Solanum lycopersicum: one gene and its partner. Each later gene encodes a partner of the first gene's protein in a complex. Links are inferred from orthologs where the notes say so. Each region holds a gene or a part of one and is shown in the gene's direction. Other genes may lie near its edges.

Region 1 (4,245 bases):
TAAAAGGTTGGTGAACTAATAATAATTTTATAATGAATGGCTTATTGTTGTGGGGGTAAATTTATTCTATTTCTTCATAAGATAAACCTGAATTTGTTAAGAGTTAACATGCGTACACTTTCAACTCAAGTGTATTAACATTATTATTTATATTGAACAAATTTTAGGAATAATTTAAATATGAATCATATTAGCGCTATACAACGACAGTTTTGATAGTTTGCTATGAAGCATTTGATTTGTATAAATAGCAGAGTATGATTTTCAGGCATATGATTTGTATAAAATTGCAATGACTGTATGTGTATATTAGTTAATATGTAACTACTTTGTGTATGTATCAATGCTTGTATTTGAATATTTGCATAAAATTTGAATTTGTTTAGATTGAATCAAATTAAAATATTTATATTTGTATATAAAATATCTCTCTCGCTTTATATAAATACAAATTATACATTATTATTTTTTTTATATAATTTGTATTTGTATAAAGCAAGAAAGACAAGAGAGAACTGTGCATGAAATTTGTATAACGATAACTGTATAGGACGAAAATATATCTATTTGTATTGTATATACAACTTTCTTTCTCTTGCTTTAGACAAACACAAATACAATTTATATATTCATATACAGTGAGAGAGGCGACCAAAGAGTGACGAGCGAGATTCAGAAAAAAAAAAACGAATGACAAAGTGTTTGCTGCAAATTAGAACTAAATGATACTATATCTATAACACTATTTGAATTCCATAATATATAATTATATATTATTAGTCCTAAGGCCGCAAACCAAAACTTAAAAACCTATAAACTATTACATTACTAATTATATATTATTAGTCCTAAGGCCGCAAACCAAAACTTAAAAACCTATAAACTAGGGATAATGCACAAGTACCCCTCAACCTATGTCCAAAATTCCAGAGACACACTTATACTATATTAAGGTCCTATTACCCCCTGAACTTATTTTATAAGTAATTTTCTACCCCTTTTTTGCCTACGTGGCACTAGTTTGAAAAAAAAAGTCAACCATCGTTGAACCCACAAGATAGTGCCACGTAGGCCGAAAAGGGGTAAAAAATTATTAATAAAATAAGTTCAGAGGGGTAATAGGACCTTAGTATAGTATAAGTGTGTCTCTGGGATTTCGGGCTTGAGGGGGTATTTGGGCATTATCCCTATAAACTATTACATTACTAGTTCGATTTTTTTAAGAAAAACATATTATATGACTATCCATCTATACCATTTTTAATATATATATATATATATATATATATATATATTATAATTTAACTTTATTTAAAATAAGAAAAATAAGTTATATATCATTCGATAATCGTCTTGTGCTAATTCCTAATTGAATCAATCAATATTTTATAAGCTAATTAGTGTATAAGTAAATTTAAAATCAATATCCGTTAAGCCAAATTATCCATCCAAATCTTATTATACACTAAAAACTACCTCAATCAAGTAAAATATACCAACAAATATAATTTCTTATACATTTAAATAAGGTGAAACATATTTAGAATCATGATTAATTTTTGTCTATTTAAAAAGTGAAGCAATCTAACGCCCATCTCCTTCGGCACTGACTGTCTTTTCCCTCCAATTGATTGTCACGTCTGCGGCGGTTTTCCTAAGACTAGGGTAAAGGGAGGACGATATTAATATCACAAAACTCGACAGTGAATGAGTTTACATATGCCCAGAGATATCTTCGTCGGGATTGCTCGAAATTGAAGGTGTTCTTAGGGTTTCGGTTGAACATTTGTAAGTCCCTTTGCACCGAATTAGAAAATAGGCTTTGAAGTAGAGTTATTACTTCGTTTGCTTTCCAGTATTTCCTTTTCAATGTTGGTATGACCTTGGTGAATGGACATGTCTGCTGGTTTAATGATGCATTGATTTTATTTCTAGATGTTTGTAAGCATGCACATTCTAGAATTTCTTATTTGTTTGTTTTGCCTGTTTAATTTTTATAATCATCACTCATGGACGGAATTATGATTAGCTTAAATTAATTTTGGAGTATTTAATTCTTGGAATATTTGTATATCTTTGGTCTGTTATGCATTTATGTGTATTAGATTTTACTGCCACATTATTTTAGTTGTTGCTACTCCATTAATATAACTAAAAATTAAGCCTTTTAATGTATTTTGCATTTCAGCTCAAGCTGGGCATCTTGGTGGAAGCAGTCATCATAGGATCCTCGAGGGCTGAATCCGTGTGGTAAAAGTAGAGTGGTCTGTGAGTGGAGACAGTTATGGCTTTGGTAGAAGTTGGTAAAGAAGAGTCTCTAGTGGGTCTAGATAAGGATGAGGAAGTTGAATTTGTCTGGGGTAGAAAGAGAGGTATTGGTGGTAAGAGAAAGGAGGTGCAGTTTTATGAATCTTTTATCTATGATGGTGTGGAGTATACTTTATATGACTGTGTATACATGCACAAAGAAGGTGAACATCCTTACATTGGTAAGATCATAAAGATATGGGAAAATCCAGACAAGTCTAGGAAGGTAAAGATCCAGTGGTTTTTTCGGTCGACAGAGATCTTGTATCACCTGAAAGATGTAAAGGTAGCTGAGAATGAAGTATTTCTTGCCTCTGGTGAAGGCACAGGATTGGCCAATGTTAATCCTTTGGTGAGCGTCATAAAATTGCTTTATCTCATTGTGTTTTCTTTCTGTCTGCTTTTACCTTACATTAAAATAGAAATTAACTATGTAGAGTTACTTAAACCATATTGTTTTATGTATAGCATAAAAACTATCTTTTTAACCAACTGCTTATGGTTAGAGGAGTTCAATTTGTGTGCACATCTAATCCAATATATATCTATTTATTGTCCACCTCGTCAATGTTAGTAAAATTCACTCAGTTCTTGTGGAGACACTTCTGCTTATTTCTATTTGGTTTTGGTGGATCTTCAAAGGAAGCCGGGCTTCTTTTTGAGGTGATACAACACAAATTAACTTGAAACATATGTTATTATTGCTATCTTTGTGGTGGAAGACGAACAACCAGAAGGAAGCCTGAGATGATTTATTACTTGCTGATGATGACAAAGCAGATGAACCTGTAACAACAAGTACTTCTCTATGAAGTTTGTCTAAAATGAGAGATGGGAGAAGCTAGCAGATCGATCTGTCCTATATTCCTATTGAATGCCAATTCTGTCCCTCCTTGTTGCCGGTCTGCCTTTTTAGAAATTTATCCTTTTTATTGAGAGGCTACCTCTTTCTTAATTTTTTTTGTGTAGATCTTCTCGACCCAACAGAAGGAAGAAAAAAGGGAATGATAAGGTGGGTGGGTGTTGGTTTGAATAGGCAAGGGGCATTTAAAAGTTAAATATAGGATGAAAGGAGTAATTTTTTTATAAGCAAGTTCCTTCTTTTGCATGATTAGTGCAAAAGCATCAATGGCAGCCAAGTTGCCTCATTGTAATAGGAAATCATTGTTGAAAGTAAGGGAGTCAAAAAAATGAATGAAAGGAAAATGGAAGGGGAAACTTAGAAATAAAAGCTGGCGAGGGTTTTGATTAGGTTTGGGAACAAAGACAAGAATACAATTGATTCCTCTTTGCTATAAGATCTGGTTGGAGCTTTTCTTTTTACCCTAAGGGCGAGGTCTGATTAGGTTTGGGAACAAACTTACAAACGATAATTCAATAAATTTCTCTTTTTTGAGATCTTGCCGATTTTTTTTTGCCACAAGGGCATTGAAGGTTTTGGTAAGCACCTGTGCTTGCTAAATATACACGTAATAAGCTCCTTCAAAACGAGTGTGTACATAAATTCTGCCGACATGGACAAAATTAGGTGTTGCACGACCTCATCTCCACTCTTCAAATTCTTGTTGACTTCCATTGATTGTAGGTTCCACTTCTTTTTCTTCTTCACCATCACAAACAAAATTGTCACTTAAAGTAGAAACCTATCAAATCCAAATTCTTTTTTTTTTTGGGAATTGATACTTTTCAATTCATCTTCCTCTTTCTCCACCATTGCAAGCCTATAATTTCACATAAACCTATTCAAACCCCGCTGCTCATTTTTCCCCACCATTACACCCAAAAGATTGAGCCAACTAGCAAATCCAGTCTCTTTGTGATTAAAGCCAACTTGTCTCAAATTTCAAATGACCCATTTTCTGCTTGTTTCTTTCTCTTGTTGTGCGCTCTCACATCTCTTGAGACAATGAATGCCTATCCCAATGCTAGAAGATAAGT
Region 2 (4,211 bases), on another chromosome or scaffold:
GTAAGAATAGAGATAAACAGAGATTGTATATTAATAAATAAATAAAATGTTTGTGAAAATGCAAAAAATTAATTTAGGAACATTTTTTAGTTTTAATGGAAATATAGATATAGCTTGTGTGTATCACACGTGACTATCATTTTTTTAAACGAATCGGTTTGAATTAATATAAGCGCGAGCCTCATGCACGTCTGACTAGGTGTGGAAATGGCCTTAAATGGCCCTTCTACAACGATATTCAATACTTTTGTGGGGTAATAGAACACCCGCAAAGTTAAAGTGTCTTTTTAAAAACCGAAATAACTTCAATGGTGACTTTATATCTTTTCTTCTAGTAAAAATAATGTTTCTGACGTTACACATTTATTGTATCCTTTTCACTCTCGGCATACCTCAACTTCACTCCACCACCTTACTTCAATGCCCTTTTCATGATATTTATTAGATTTTATGCATATATTCTTAGAATAATATATTTTACTTATATATTGAACACAAGAAAATAAGAAAAAAAATTAACTTACTTTTCTAGTTCATATATTATTCTCTTTGGAAACTCTAGTTTCATAGTATGGTGGAAAACCGAGTTTCTTTGGACACTCATTATGATTACGTTATAAACTAGAAAGTAAGAAGACGATCAACTAATATGCTTATGGGTTAATAAAGTATGATTTGATATAAACATTATATACAAATAAATTTTGCCCAACAAGAGGCCGAAAGAAACACATAAATTATTGTTTTTCACAAGTTTTATATCTTGATTATCCATTGTTCTCTTTAACTATTTAAACTATCACTTTTTTCTTATTAGAACACCTCAATGATGAGTTAGTCAAATATTATTTCAATTGACAACAGACACGTGTAGTCAATTGAAAAACGAATTGTATTTTAACATAAAGAAAATTATAGTAGATATATGAAACTACCAAAATATAATAATTTGAATAGATCAATTGAAATATGGACTTCGCAAAAATATGATAGTTGAAATATAGTTTTACCATTTAACTCATATAATATTTTGTACGGATATTTTACAATATTTACACTACTAAGCTAATCTCTAATTTATACTTGAAATAATTAGGGAAAATACATAAGTATTTCTCAATCTATGTTCGAAATTTCAGAGACACTTATATTATACTAAGATCCTATACCCCTCTGAACTTATTTTATATATATCTACCCCTTTCGGCTTATGTGACAACACGCGTTGAGCTAGATAGTGTCACGTAGGTTGAAAGGGGTAGAAAATTATTTATAAAATAAGTTCAAGAGTTACTAGGACCTTAGTATAGTATGTGTGTGTTTGAGATTTCGAACATAAATTGGGTTTACTTACGCATTATAATTATAAAAAGATGATAATATGGACCCAATATGTAATTTTCAAGATAGTTTTGGGGGTTAAAAGGAACTTAGAAGTTTTCCTAAGACTTAACGGAAAATTTATAAAATCACCATAATAGCACAATCCAAGGTCTGAAGAAGGTTCCAGTTAGGTTCCATCAACCTGGGCGAAACTCAAAGGTAATTAGCATCGGAAAACCCCTCCCTTTTAATTTTTTGTTTTACTTTGTGGGTTTTGGTTGTTGTGGGGTTGGAGGAGGTGGGTTTGGCCAAAAATTGATTCTTGAACTTGGGATTTAGGTTTGGTTGAAGAAATTTAATCTGTGTTCTTGAATTCATTATTATACTTGATTCTCAATTTTGGAGATGGAGGGGTTGTACTATACTGGATTCTTTATCTTGTTGAAACAAAAAAATTTGGATCTTTTTTTTTAACTGAATATTTCTCAACGCCTTGTAAATGTTGCTGGGTAAATTGAGTTACATAAGTACTAAATTTTGAAGTTACTGAGTAATTTGGAATTTTGGATGATGGTTGAGCTTTGAAATATGTGATTTTTATACAAGTAGGTATAGTCTATGTCTCTGTGTAGCAAAGATAATGGTTATGTATCATGTCCTTGTGTACAACAATGTTGTTAGGTGCTAGTTATTTTTTTAGCCTCGGTATCTTATTATCTTCTTGTTGTTTCTGCTTGTTGCTATTAGCTTTTCTTTTTCACTGTTTGTTTTGTTCATTCAGCTGAGGGTCTATCGGAACAGCCTCCCTAACATTATTTACAACAATGAGTTTGTTGCTGTTGTTGTAAAAAGACAGTAGAGACTATTTTGTTAGTAATGTTATTAATAATTGCACATTTGCACAGTTCAGTCACAAGTCACAACTACATTAGAAGCACCAAGTTGGTGCTGCAAAAGCTTACGAATCTTTCTTCTGAAATTGTCTAGTTTTGTTCATATTTATTGCCTACATGATGTTGAATCTTGTAAGCTGTTAGGTTCTTAAGTTAATACTTTTTTTAAAATTCCACAAAGCACCTCATGGTGGTTAAGCACTTTATAGCGGCTTTAGGCATTGCCGTATCAGTCACAGGAAGAAAAATATAGTCCAGATATCTTTACAAGTTTTACCACCTCACTATGCAAATAAGAGATGACTCATTGTTTCATCCTCCTTTCCCGGCTCACATGGCTACATGTTTTATTCAGCTTACACGCTAGTAATAGGTTTCCTCTTTCAATCCACTTCCAGACATTCATTTACTAACTGTATGCGACTCTGCTGGCTTTCTCAAAAAATATGTTCTGTGCATCCGATACTTTGACTACTTCTAACCTCTAAGGCAACAACTTTGGCATTAATCTAATAGTTATAGATACTTATATTTGAGCTACAACGAGTGGAAATTAGTAGCTCAATCAAGCTCATCTCGTTTCTTGAAGATGCATCTAGTCCATCCTGAAGATAGAAGGCTGTCAGGACATCTCTCTTACCTATCGGCTATCACCCAACATTTTCAATATAAACCCGTTGTGCATCTATTCGACATGGTAGCATATATCCTGCTGGTGAAGTTTCTGCTTCTATGACTGCTTAACTCTCTACTTAAGTTTTCTCTTTTACTAAACCGGCAAGATGAATTTCTTCCACTGTTGGAAGTAAAAGATTTCATTCTAATTCTCATTTGTGTTTTCAATTATTCTGTCAGTAATGAACAATTTGGAGATACTGTAGTAGCAGCGATGTGTATTTTCCAGTCTATACCAAATCTAGTGTTTTTGCCTGGTTTCTTGATCCACCATGTTCTACATTTTCATGTTTCCCTATTGTGTCCTTTACTGATGCCAATCTACTCAGTTTTCCTTTTAGATTCATGATAAATCCTATTTGTCAACTTCTTGGACTTTGAATCCAACCAGTTCTTTACTTGGTATTCAAACCCTTCCTTTCAAAATGCATGTTCTCAAATCTGATAGGTGTCTTGATTATCTATTCAAATCCAGCATTATTGGTTAGTGATCATAAAGAAGTCTCAGTAGTAAAGACTCCCTTGTATTTGCATATTTTTCTTCCCAATTTACTGAGATTGAAATTGTTCGAGCTTGTAAAACTTCCCTATGTTTCTCCAATCAGCCAAGTGAATCTTCCTCTTGTCAATGGAATCTCGGATCTATATCCAGAATTAAGTCTGAAAATTCCAATGTATCGAGAAGTTACAGGACTTAATTATTCTTTCTTCCAGAAAATGTGTCTCATTAAGTTACTCCAAGACATCAGAGTACGTTCCATTATCCTTTTGCTGTTGCTAAGTCATAGAACAACTCCGCCCGTTTGTAGTTTAGATTACGTCCATGGACCTTGGAAGACCCCAAGAGAAGTTGCTAACGCCAAATTCAATCAAATAAGAAATAGAGTAATCCCCAGCAATCTATTTTGCAGTCACTATTTTCTATTTCCCATTTTCGATGAACCTCTCTAATATTACAGCCAAGTCCCTCCCTGCTGTGTCATTTCCCAACTCCGTAATGATTACTTCCGCTACTCATATTTTTGCAACTTTGCTCCATCGGTCAAAAGAGCAGAAATCACTGGAGAGGACAGCTGAGAATGCTGGTGTGATTCACTTCAGCCATCATCATGGTGTTCCAGCACGAATGTGTCATTTCCCAATACACATAATACCCTTCAACTACGTTAAGTTGGTTGCAGCATGATTGGCACTAAGATTATATTTTTGAGTCGCCAGTAATTTGTTATCAAAATTATGTGAACTGTGGTTTACCTCTTTTTCTAAAGATTCTGGTGAATTGCTTCTGCTTAGGTGAAATTTGCTATTACTCATCATGGA

The links. The genes of interacting proteins can lie anywhere in the genome.
Region 2: protein ANTI-SILENCING 1 (region 1) and ASI1-immunoprecipitated protein 1 share a complex: the UniProt entries of both Arabidopsis thaliana proteins name them as parts of the ASI1-AIPP1-EDM2 (AAE) RNA regulatory complex. The link is inferred for Solanum lycopersicum from reciprocal best matches to the Arabidopsis thaliana genes AT5G11470 and AT1G05970.

What each region holds. Positions count from the first base shown.
Region 1 is NC_090810.1:6,216,515-6,220,759, forward strand, and holds the start of protein ANTI-SILENCING 1, read left to right. Parts: upstream 1-1,442; 5' UTR 1,443-1,788; intron 1,789-2,188; 5' UTR 2,189-2,284; coding exon 2,285-2,659; intron 2,660-4,245. UniProt on the Arabidopsis thaliana protein: Collaboratively with AIPP1/EDM3 and EDM2, the AAE complex regulates alternative RNA processing (e.g. alternative splicing) and epigenetic silencing (e.g.
Region 2 is NC_090809.1:60,241,400-60,245,610, reverse strand, and holds the start of ASI1-immunoprecipitated protein 1, read left to right. Parts: upstream 1-1,409; 5' UTR 1,410-1,542; intron 1,543-4,184; 5' UTR 4,185-4,206; coding exon 4,207-4,211. UniProt on the Arabidopsis thaliana protein: Prevents gene silencing by suppressing CHG methylation as well as histone H3 lysine 9 dimethylation (H3K9me2) status at target loci.